Linked DNA regions of Arabidopsis thaliana. The protein of the gene in region 1 purifies or fractionates together with the protein of each later gene. This does not show direct contact. Each region holds a gene or a part of one and is shown on either strand. Other genes may lie near its edges.

What was found. The genes of interacting proteins can lie anywhere in the genome.
Region 2: the proteins of AT3G63460 (region 1) and AT3G01340 fractionate together in Arabidopsis thaliana (co-fractionation; one large-scale study listed by BioGRID). This does not show direct contact.

The regions. Positions count from the first base shown.
Region 1 is NC_003074.8:23,431,335-23,439,283, forward strand, and holds the start of AT3G63460 (transducin family protein / WD-40 repeat family protein), read right to left. Parts: upstream 6,034-7,949; 5' UTR 5,908-6,033; coding exon 5,591-5,907; intron 5,442-5,590; coding exon 5,387-5,441; intron 5,293-5,386; coding exon 5,170-5,292; intron 5,059-5,169; coding exon 4,962-5,058; intron 4,847-4,961; coding exon 4,810-4,846; intron 4,723-4,809; coding exon 4,617-4,722; intron 4,541-4,616; coding exon 4,483-4,540; intron 4,269-4,482; coding exon 4,171-4,268; intron 4,075-4,170; coding exon 3,955-4,074; intron 3,653-3,954; coding exon 3,610-3,652; intron 3,492-3,609; coding exon 3,370-3,491; intron 3,287-3,369; coding exon 3,159-3,286; intron 3,063-3,158; coding exon 2,501-3,062; intron 2,398-2,500; coding exon 2,305-2,397; intron 2,017-2,304; coding exon 1,831-2,016; intron 1,750-1,830; coding exon 1,536-1,749; intron 1,459-1,535; coding exon 1,400-1,458; intron 1,307-1,399; coding exon 1,151-1,306; intron 674-1,150; coding exon 542-673; intron 461-541; and 3 more. Other genes in the region: scpl40 (serine carboxypeptidase-like 40), read left to right, coding at 7,227-7,623. UniProt on the Arabidopsis thaliana protein: Required for protein transport from the endoplasmic reticulum to the Golgi apparatus.
Region 2 is NC_003074.8:126,820-130,866, forward strand, and holds AT3G01340 (Transducin/WD40 repeat-like superfamily protein), read right to left. Parts: upstream 2,176-4,047; 5' UTR 2,073-2,175; exon of another isoform or gene 2,061-2,072; intron 1,665-2,060; 5' UTR 1,647-1,664; coding exon 738-1,646; 3' UTR 536-737; downstream 1-535. Other genes in the region: AT3G01345 (uncharacterized protein), read left to right, coding at 2,500-3,900. UniProt on the Arabidopsis thaliana protein: Required for protein transport from the endoplasmic reticulum to the Golgi apparatus.

The sequences.
Region 1 (7,949 bases):
CACGCTTCTTAGTAGTATTCGCACGTGCGCCTCCCAGTGCTTCCGATGTCTCATTGAAAAGCCTTGTCAACGTTGCTATCACAGGTTTCTGGTGGGCTGGATCAGTTTACAAGAGGTGATCATTATATGACTTTACTCAGAAACAAAACAGAGATAAGGTGCTAATGAAACGTCGTACGATACCTGGAACGTTGGAAGTATCTGCAGTCTGAACAGTTGGTGGCGGAGTTGCAGGCGCAGGGGCTGCCTGTGCAGCTGCCTGCTGTGTTGGAGGACTTGCTGGTTGCACAGATCTTGGAGCAACTCCTGGAGTTGCCATGGGCGTAAATCCTATGGGTCCAGCTGCTGGAGCAACAACTTGGGGCATCTTAGGGTTAGGATATTGCCCAAGTTGTGAAGGGCCAGAAGGTGCATATTGACCAGGACCCGGGGGAACAGGGTATGCATTGTTAGATGGTCCCTGATGAAAATTTAGAAGTTAGCTTCATTAAACTAAAACTGCGGGTAACATCAAACACACTGGAGGCAAAATTTCTCATACCGTGAATGAATGAGAACTCATGGTTGGCTGCTGATATTGATCTGCATTCTTCAGTGCAGGGGGAGTTGAAGGAACAAATGTAGTTCTCATGGATGGCTGAGCATTGCTTGTAGGAGCTGGAGTAAAAGATGGCTGCATAAACACACTATAGTCAACAAGTTGGCCCAAGAAACCTGTACATAGCAAACAAAACACTTTCCCACGACAAAATTTTCTCACGACCTCTCTAGGATATAGATTCTACAGCAGTGAATAAAAGTAAAGGTCTAGATTATCCGTTTCTCTAGGACATGGGTTTAGAGGCTGAAAATGTTCAGTTTTGGGGAGTTTTGTTTTAGGTCAAAGAACCACATACCTATTATAATCCATCTACTATTCTGACTAAAAAAATCACACAAACGAAGAGACTATGCATTTGAGCACCACATACATATTTCAGATGTCATCATATCTCAAAAGCTTGACCAATCCCTTAGACAAAAACATAAAGAAACGGACACTTTCCTGATCTAGACATCTGAGAACTGCTAGATAAGGATGGTCATTAATGCATGATGGTGCAAGGAAGAATAAGAAAAGAAAATGCAACAAAACCAAAACTTTAGAAACCTGCGGAGCTGGCTGAGCTTGGTGTGGCATAAACATGGTTGGTTGCTGCATGGGTGGATGTGAAACTTGAGGGACATAATAAGAATCAGTGTACGGTTGCTGATACTGATTATCATATGGGTTAGCAAGAACGTTTGGTTGCGCCTGAGTTGGCTCCTAAGCCATAGAAGAGTAAAGACTAAGTATGTTATCCGTGAAAGCTACATGGATTCTAAGTAAAATATAAAACGATTTGCAGAACTCAAATACCTGATTATATGGCATGGTGCTTTGAGGCTGAGTGTTTCCTGAAGCTGTAGTGTTAGTCTCTGCGTATAAAATGTTAAGCTAAATTTATCATCAAAACTCTCTTAAATATTAATCAAAAACACAACTGCATACGCACCAGGTTCTGCAGATAGAGAAATACGATCACGTAATATTGAAAGTTCAGGTGACAAGCCACCAGAATCCAGAACTTTCAAGTACTTCATTGCCGTTGTAAGAAGCCCTTGGCTGGCCAGTATCTCAGCATAACTCTCAAAGAGTTTACACAGAGATGCGCTGAACTTTTTGTTGCCAGTTGCCAAAGCAAGGACAAGAGTCTTCTCCATAAGATCCTATTATAAGATAAGGGCAGAAAAATATGAGCGGAGAAGCCCAGCAAAATTTATGCGCGAAACATAGAAAGTGATACACACTTGAAGAAGCTCAGCATAAGATCTTCCATCCCGCTCATTTGCAAGGCTCCTCGACCAAATTTCTACTGTTCTGTCAACATTGCCTGCGCAAATGTAGCAGAGAACTGCAGCCAAAGTGTTACCAGCAGCCATCAACTTCGAGGCAAGGGCATCACACAGGGTTGTCCATTGTTCTCCTTGTGCAAACTGTTTGCCAATGAATATAAGATCAGCATTCATTACAAAGAAGTTTTCTAGTGAGCAGAATAGCGTAGCTGACAAGTTGTTCATCTTGGTTCACGAGTGCACGGAGATAACATCACATTATATTGTTGAAAAGAGTTAAAAGTGATAGCAGAAAATGTTTTCGCTGAGTAAGACACGAAAAAGCAGATTCCATTTCCTTTATGATTATTGGAGTGCATTGATAGACAATATCAATTAGTAAATTTCCTTTCTTTTCTAAGTATTTTTCCCTCAGTCGGAGAAACTTACAGTACAGAGGAGAGCAAGAGTCTCTTTCCAGAACTTATGTGACCTTGTATAGATAAGGCTCCTGAGATCATTGTTCACCATCGCAGAAACAACCTGAAATAGATAAACATACAGTAGTTTACAGATTTTGCAACCACAAACAGGGGTGTAGATGGCACTTACCTACATATCAAGTTGGGAAAGAATATACATATACCTTCATGTATGGCGCACTGCTCGTCTTCAAATATTTCTCACGAGTACTCTCCCACAACGCTGTACCACCAACATGAGCAATAACTAAAGCATCGGCCATCTTATTTGCAGTTATACACTGATCCACCGCCTCCTTGTAATCTCCAACAATCAACGCTCGCTGGATGGCATTATCAAAAACTGGGTCAGAACTTTCTTCCTCTTCTTCTTGCATTTCTTGCGTTTCTTCTCCTTTGGTAGAAAAATCTGTGTCAGAAGGCATAAAATCTTTGGCAGATGTAGATACAGGTGTATCCGGTTTAGCAGGAAAGTTGTTAAAGAAGTCTTCTCCATTATCCATCGCAAATGCAGCTGCCTCGTTACTGTCGTCAAGATCCAGTGCATCTGCCGCAGTATCCTCTAATCTAATGCCATTGAGATCTGATGAGAGCCCATCTACTGCCTGATCCTTTTCCGCAACAGGCAAAGTAAAGCCAAGATGGCTGATCAACTTTGTCCTTGAAGTTCCTTCCTCTTCGAACATGATTTTCAGCAAGCCCCATGTCTCTTTCTCCTCTTCGGATCTGCGAAATCAGTGGAATAAAATGGTCCAAACTGAGTTATCTCATGAGTTTTTATAAGGGCGAATATCAACATTTTCAATCACAAGGATGGCATACTCAGTCTCTTCAGATTTCTTCTCGCACAAACCCCTTAGAGAAGTCATATCTCCATTTTCTATTGCAGCTTCAAATTCAGAAGTTCGACTCACCAAACTCTGTTCTGTTACCAGGCTGTGCAAAAAAACCTAAACATGACACTAAGTCAAATTAGAATTGACGACAAAAGGGGTATAACCGGATAAATAAATATATGTACATAGATACCTACCTCGGATAGAATGCTCGAAGTACCCTTTGCAGGGGCCCTTGCGTGACACGATACAAGCTTTCCCCCAAATCCAAAAGATGCACCAACCGGGCGCTTATACCATTTTGGTGCTTTTAAAGGAGCTGCATAGAGAGGAATATAAGAAGTAATGTTGGTCCTGAAGCTTTTCATCTTCCAGCATAAAAATGATAGAAGTAATCAACGGTAAACAAACGGTTCAGATTGGGTAAATGGAATTACCAGTACCAAAATTATTCTCTTCAACACCATAGCGACTGCAACCCTGCACCAAAGCGTTGAATACGTTTTTTTAATCCATTCTAGGAGGGGAGAAGGGAGATCTACAGTTCAACAGGTCTTGCTAATAAGGTAAATCTCAACTACAAAGTGTATAAGATTAAACTCTAAAACATTTGATTTCCAGTGGTATGTTAACTGGGGACCTGAAACCTAAAATGATGAAGGAGAACAGTCGATAGGGCTGGATTCAAAAGTTCATTATTTGTTATGCCTCATACATTATTTACATTCATTCATATAGAACAAAATAATTTACAATTACTGAAGGGCAAACTACTAAGGTACCTCGATATTGTAGATGCCAATTTTCCCATCAAATGAAGATGCTGATATAACTCCAGGTATCTTTGGGTACCAATGAACATCAAAATTCCAATTGTTGCCAGCAGGTAACTCAGCCACAATCTGTTATGGTTGGATCAAACTCAGTCAAAATGGAAAATAGTTAACTAATTCACGGACCCAGCAAATCTGTATCTTTTATTGATTCCTTCACACTACCTCTGCTGTATTTGTATCCCAGCAAATCGTTCGGTTGTCCTTAGCACAGGTGAGAAGATATGAGCTGTCACTTGGGCACCACTCCATTGCAATTACCCCTGACAGATAAGAAGTATCACCACTACACTTCACCAAGGTGTAACACCAAGAATGAAGACAACAGGACTATAATATAAAGGCACCAAAATATGAGTGGGTTAAAGACTAAGACGTCTGATCTACAAGGCTGTCCACTTACCAACCATAGAAAATGATACCAAGCTAGAGAGAAGCACTGAGAAAAGCATTTTGATATCAATGATTTGAAAATACCTCTTTGGTGTCCAGTAAACTCGCGCACAGGTGACATTATATTCCTCATGTCCCAGAGCTGATTGCAGATACCTTACATCACTAAAAGAACCAAAATTGAACTATATGAAGCAACGCGTTAAATGATTCCTTACCTTCAAAGTAGGTGAACTGTCGTCATCTGATGCAACCATTATCTGAGTAGTAACGTTAGGGTTCCACTGTAAAACAGAGCACCGGCGTCGAACTGAATCTGCAAAGCTGTTGAATGATAATGGCGAGATCAAGGATTTGACAACAAGTTTTTCGAGAGCCTCAATAATATCACTTAATAAATTGAATACTTACTTAATTATAGGCTTCTGCTTCCTCAAGTCCCAAATTACTGGGGGAAAAGAAAATGAAAATAAAGACTGATGAGCAGAAGCAGAAATATAGTAGACAGAAGTGAAGTAGTAGTCAAGTAGATAGAGAAAGAGAGAGAAACCCCTAAGTCTCACCAGTAGTCCCATTGTATGAGGTAGAAGCTAATATCTGTTGAACTTTTCTATTCCACGATATAAAGGAGATTTCACCTTGCGTAGCAGAACCACTACCCTGCAAAAGACCCTCGCATAAAGTTACTCATGGGTTTATACCAAAGCAATAATGAGAGTAAAAGGTAATACAAAAACCAAGGTTGTTGACTAGTAAGAAGTGGTGGTATACCTTGAGCAGTGGAAAATGAGAAGGCTCTGAAGGCTTTAATAAGTCCCAAATGCAAATTTCACCATCATCAGCCCCAGAAGCAAGTAGATTTGAGCTGATAGCATTAAACTCAAGACCACGAACCTAAGAAAAAAAGAAGCACGCACACATGAAAATGAGGAGTGATAAAAACAAAACAGCGTTAAGCAACAAAATAATGCAGAGAGACACAACTCACAGGGCCTTTGTGAACTGAAAGATGGCCAACGAGTGCATTTTCGCTGGGCTGGGAACTGAAAATTGTGACAGTTGTTCGAGTTAGACTCGTTCAGATGAAAATTGGATACCACATACATAACTCTATTAATGCGGATTATAAAAAAAAACAGAGTGAAAATGGCGATTCAATAGCAGCAAAGCAAGGCGAGGAAAGGAAACGCACCCGATCAAAGAAAGAGGATTCCATAGATCTATATTTCCGTCGACAAGGCCGCCGGCAATAAGACCAAGGGCGAATTCCTCGGATCCAGATCCGTTTCTTCCCCAGGCGAGTCTATTGAACCGCTCGGAGCTGGGGATTTCCCCGACGAGAGGCAAGTCGCGATCGTCAGACTGAAAGTCGAGCTTAAAGATCTCGAGATTGGCGGAAGAGCTAAAGGAGAGATCGACGGCTCCGGCCATGGTTCCGGCGGCCATGTAAGGAGCATCGGGAGCCAGGGCAACGGAGGCGGATCGGCCCACCCCCTTGATGCAAGCCATATTGGAATCGGAGATTGGGATTTAATTTTTAGGGTGTGTGAAGTTGAATTCTTGTAAATTGGGATCTGGAGAACAAAGGAGGAGAGGAGTTACTTCACCATTATAGATTTGATTAGAATGTTTTTTATTTTCTTATTTCGACAGGGGCGAAACTGTACTTTCAACTCAAAAGAGTAAGGGTAATCTCGGACACTCCCCTAAGGTTCTGAGAGCCATTCTAAACATGACACGTCAACTAATCTCTGAGGCCTATGACCCATCTTATTTGGGCCTTGGAACAATATGCTGGATAAATCTCATTACCCAACTTTGAATCGCAACAATTGGGCCCAATAATGTGTTTTCAAAAACACGTGAAATTTTTATCATCAAATTTGAAATTATTTATTTAAGTGGTCAATGAGATTGTTATGAATAATAAACTGGGAAGGAATGTGCTGAAACATCGGATCTGGCCAGTGGGGCTACTAGTACACGAAAGTCCCATGTTCGGCTCATATCATTGTCTTACATTTTTTCTGTTCCAGATTTATAGAATTCGTATTAAACAATGGTAGAAAATAAGCTAATATTTGTTTGCAGTTAAATGTATTACGAAGAAACAAAAGATGGAATGATATCAAGTGTGAAAATCAGGATTGCAGCATCGACTCACACACCACATGGCATAACATGATCACTCAGAGACGTTGACATCTTCTCTCCTCGCTCTTTTTTTTCTTCAGATTCTTAGAATTCCACTTGTACATTTTTATCAGGGTAATGCATTTTATGCTTCTTTAACTTTTGTTTTGGGAAAAAAAAGAGAAATAATTATTAAAAACCAATAATCATTGCATCATTCTACTTATAAGTTATAAGTTGCTATCAAGGTGTTTCGTTTTTCTCTCCCAAACGACTAATAATAATCGAAGGCCATATACATTCGAAGATTACTAATTTAATTTAGTAAGTTCACTTCACACCCATAGACACACAACCTTTTCTTACATGAAACATATATATATATATATATATATTGATTGAGGCCCGAAAAATAAAATAAATAAATTAATCTTTAATCTGAATCTGTTATCAAAATAATTGTACTACTTTAAAAATGAAAAACAAAAACAATAGTTGTCAAAAAAAAAAAAAAAAAAAAAAGGAACAATCATTCGTATGGTTGGAGGTTTTGACCCACAAAAAAGAAGAAGTTGTTTAAAGATGCAAACCCACACACTCGTTTCTTCATTTAACTGTCTCTTCTTCAAAACCAAAACCAAAACCAAAACCTTCTATTGTTTCCCTCCCACGCTATAATTCATAGACATAAGAGAATGAGGAAAGGACAGGGCTACTCCTACTCTGTAATCGCATCGGTGTTGGTGTTACTGTGTGTGGTGGTGTCTCGAATCGAATGCAGCAGCCAAGTGCACGCCCTGAGCCGTCTTTACCTGTCTAAGCGAGGGGTTGGTGGTTCGTCCACCATGGACACAAGCCATTTCAAGGCGGTTAAGGATTTGAAACCGTCTTCGCTGCGGAGTGCTGCTAATCAGGAGGGGCTAAGAAAGAGAGATCTGATACGGAGATTGCCCGGACAGCCTCCCGTTAGTTTCGATCAGTACGGCGGCTATGTTACCGTCAACGAATCCGCCGGGCGTTCCTTTTTCTACTATTTCGTGGAAGCCTCTAAGTCTAAAGATTCTTCTCCTCTGCTTCTCTGGCTCAACGGCGGTACGTTTCCACTGTCCACACGCATACGTATATATATTTCTTTTATTTTGGTTTGCATCTTTAGTTAGGGGCACTGCATTATGGGTTTATATCTGTACATCTTATATCTGAGTACAAAGATGAACAAGAATGTTAGTTTGATCGATCGAGGCTGTCTTTTTCTCAGTGCTTATTAATCTATCATATGCTATATGATTTTCAGAATTTAATAATTGTGAGGACCATACCATATTTATGCCTTATAGGTCTGCTAATTTTCTTTTTCTTTTATAATTTTTAAATCAAATTATCGGAACTAATTATTATTTGCGCAACAATAGTAGTGA
Region 2 (4,047 bases), about 23 Mb from region 1:
AAAAACAGAGAAAGAGGACGAGAAATTTCTGAGATTCGGATATTTGTCTTAGCAATTAAAAAAAAAAAAAAAAAACTTTTTGGGGCCAAAGCGGGGGGAGAGAGATTTCGAATTGTGAAAATAGGCGCTTCATTCATCGCTTTAGCACTTGTTATCACTGTTAATGACGCAAATACCCTCGATCCTCTTAACTACACGGAGTATTGAAAGGGTAAATATTATAAATCGATGCAGAGCCGGATTAGCATTTTTTGAGCGCCATCGGCAAAATTTCGTAAATCAAAATTTTATGCCTAATTGAGCATTAAAATTTATCAAGTGGCTGGCTAAACGAGCTGGTTAATGAGTTGAAAATTAGTTGATCGATTAAAAACACAATTAACTAAGGTTGAACAGGCTTAAATTTTTAAAGTATTAATTAGTTAAAAATGAGTTTATATTGAAATCAATTAAATTTTGGTTATAAACTACAATGAATTTACGCCAAAATCGGAATCTCATAAAAGGGTAAAAATGTGAAAAACATCATACCAGTAAAAAAAACTCATTATCGGAATTAAAAAGTTTTATGAAAAATACATTTCTTTTGCAATCTCTGTTGTCTGATTAAAATACATAAGAATATACTTTCCTGAGAAACGTATAGAGAGAAACAGGTCCCTAGAAATTGTATACAGAACACACCACATTTTGATATTACCACAAAACAAAAGATAACCAAACAAACAAACAACAATCTATGGCTCAACAACAGTCACTTGTTCCCACTCTCCATCAACAGACTCTTTCCACACTGTAACGTTATTGTTCCCATCGGAAACAGCCAACAAATTACCGGTCAACGACCACGAGACCCGCCACACTGGTGTTTTGAAATCTTTCAAAACAGTACCTTCCCATTGCTCACCTTCTTTCCCTATGGTCCATATGATCACTTTCCCATCTTCTGAACCACTGGCTATGGTTGACTTTGGGAGACCCAAGTTCGGTGCCCAAGCCACATCACGGACCCAATCCGTGTGCTTGTTGAGAGCCGGGAAACAATCCATTTTCCATGACCCGTTCGAGAACTTCCACACTTTCACCGTGCTATCACACCCGCCGGATGCTAGTTTGTAGACCGGATCGATCATACCAGAGCTAACGAGTGCGCCTGGTTCTGTGGCCGGTGCCCACGACACTGAAGTGACACCAACAGGGTGTGCTTGGTCTATCTTTGTCGTGTCCCAACCGCCATCAGCTCGAGCCGAGAAAACTGATATGTTTCCATCAGATGCTCCGCAAGCTAAGGAGAGTCCAAGTTCATGAGGAGCCCAAGCGATAGAGTTGACAGATACTTTGTGGTCTGTGAAGACATGAGCTTGTGTCCATTGGTTTTGGTTACCTTCTTTCCATAATATAATTTGCCCATCATAGGAACATGAAGCGAGAAGTGAACCAAACTTTGGGTGCGCCCAAGCGACTTGCCAGACAGGACCTCGATGACCGGTTAAGGTAGCTAGATGCTGAGATCCACCGCTGTTGCTTACTCCGGTTATCTTGATCGTGCAGTCAGACGAGGCAGTTGCTACTCGCTTTCCATAGTAATCCATGACCACATCATGAATAGTGTCGCTATGACCAGTTTCAATCTTCTGAGGAGGCATGTTTCCTGAATGCTTTCACTGTTACAATACAAATCAACAGGGAACACAACCATGAGCATGTTGATCCAGACATTAACCGAAGCAAAGTGTTAGATTATTAAGCAGAACAATTAACAAATTATCACAGCCAAGACCATATGGTAAGCACAAGGATTATTTAAACTCAGACCTCAATTTTAAGCGATTAATCAACACAATCAACATCGCAATGTTTACAAGTTGTGAAAAAAACAAGATCAAAACGAGAAATTATAAAACGTGGATTCTAAGATTGATCGCTTCCCACCGATGTGAATGAGAGTACATAACCTAAATCGATCTACAGGCGCTGATAGAAGTCTAGCAAATTTTAACGAAATTCATTGGAAGATCAAATTGAGCTAAGACTTCATAAACAACAGAGAAAAATCTCACATCGTTACGAACCTCTGGTATTGGAGTTATCTTCTTCCTTTGAACTCTCCAAAACTCAGATCTGCTACTGCTTAGAGACGAGAGAGACAAAGCGAAAGAGGCGAGTTTGTGTCCTTATTACCGATTCTACCCCTACTTGTTGGAATGACATTAATACCCCCTACATACTATCAGGCAGTAGATGGGCCATCGTGTATATGGTATTGGGCCTTCAATATTGTTTAGTTGTATTATTGGGTATGTTGAAAATTGAGAACACCAATTTGACATTTTTAAACTGAATTCTTTTCATTCATTCTCTCTCATCGAGGCCAAAGCTTCCAAACAAATTCCGGCACCGGTAGAGCCGTTTGCTCGCCGGTGCCGGGAGCTATCGTTCCCTTGTCGCTCTCTTCTCAATGGCTATGTCATCTGGTGTTCTCTATTCTCCCGTGTTCCCATGTTTCGCTTGTCTTTTCTCCCTTTGTATCCAAAGATTACCTTGACCACCATACCTCTGAACACGTTCACTTCTTGTGCTAGTTCTCCCCTTATCTTCTTTGCGACCTCCGTGGTTTATCCCTCTCCTCGGCTCCCCTTGAAGTCAATACCGGCATCTCCCTATTCCCCTCTGGATCGGAGCTTTGCTTTGACGCCGGAGCTGTTGAAGAGCTTTACCTTGGAAGATCCAACTTCTGCAGACCGAGCCTCATCGCAAACAAACTTCGTTTGGTTAGATCTTGTCTCTGACGCCCTCAATTCGGCAGCTGTAAACCCTAAGTCCGTTTTGCCGTCGCCGTCGTCGTTGGTGACAAAGAGAAGATGCGCTTGGCGGCTAAACCTAATGCTGCCTCAGGGTTTTCGCATTGGGCCCAACCCAAGCCCCTTCTGTCCTCCCCCTAACCCATTACCTAAACTATTAAAGCCCATGAAGCCTTCTGCTGGGTTAAGCCCATATCCTCTAAGGCCCAGGTCTGTTTTCAAATCTGTTTTACAAAGCCCAAATTTTTTGATGTTGTTATCATTTAGGGAGAGTAATGGACGCTTTCCTGTGATGGTGATGATGGATTTAGCTTGGATTAGTAGCTCTCTCTCACAAAACCTAGTTGATAGTCTATCTCGTTTGGTCCGTTTTCTTCAGTGTTTGAGTCTAGTCTTGAATCGTTTGGAGCTATTTTCTCTTTGGAAGTGTCCTAGAGTGTTGCTGCCCACACCAAGTATCGTTAATTTACTATCGAGTTCCCTCCTTTTAGCACCCTCTACCTCTGTTTGGGCTGGTAATGGACGCCTTGCTATCAGAATAGTGGTTTGTTTAGGTGGGAATGGTAGTTACCATTGTCGAGATAAGATGTTAAGTTTTCTTTGGACCCTATCCGAGACTCCTTTACCCACCCATAGGCAAATGGCCTTTAGAGTTAAGAGGATCGGCATTATGACCCTGTCTCTACCGAGTAGGTGTTACCGAAGCCTTGAAAACTCTCAACTTATCCACTCACCATTTATCGCGCTCATTCATGTCATGTTAATCTATTGCTTGGATAATTTGCAATCTCTTGACATGTTGAAAAAGTACGGCATTATGACCATGTCTTCAAGAAGTGGTTACCGTCTTTTTCTCAACCTCGTTAACCCGTCAGCCTCCTCAACGGAGCACTTCTTCAAAAGCTCGGATGCATTGTTTGCAAGAGCTTCTTTTGACCACAAGATGGTCGAGGATTTCGCGAAGCCCGCCTTCATGGTCGAATCTGCCAAGGCCTCAACAGATTTTTCAATCATTAGAAAACTCATGAAGCTTCTATCCTTATTTTCCTGTAATTTCTTATTTTCATTGTGTATGAACTTGTCTCTTTTGAGATTTTAATGAATGAAGATCTTTGTTTGACAAAAAAAAAACTGAATTCTTTATATCATTGTTCATATATATAATAACTGAAGAAACATAACTGTTACTAATATAAGAGTCAAAATTATATGGTAAACAAAGAAATTAAACAAAAGTATAACTTTC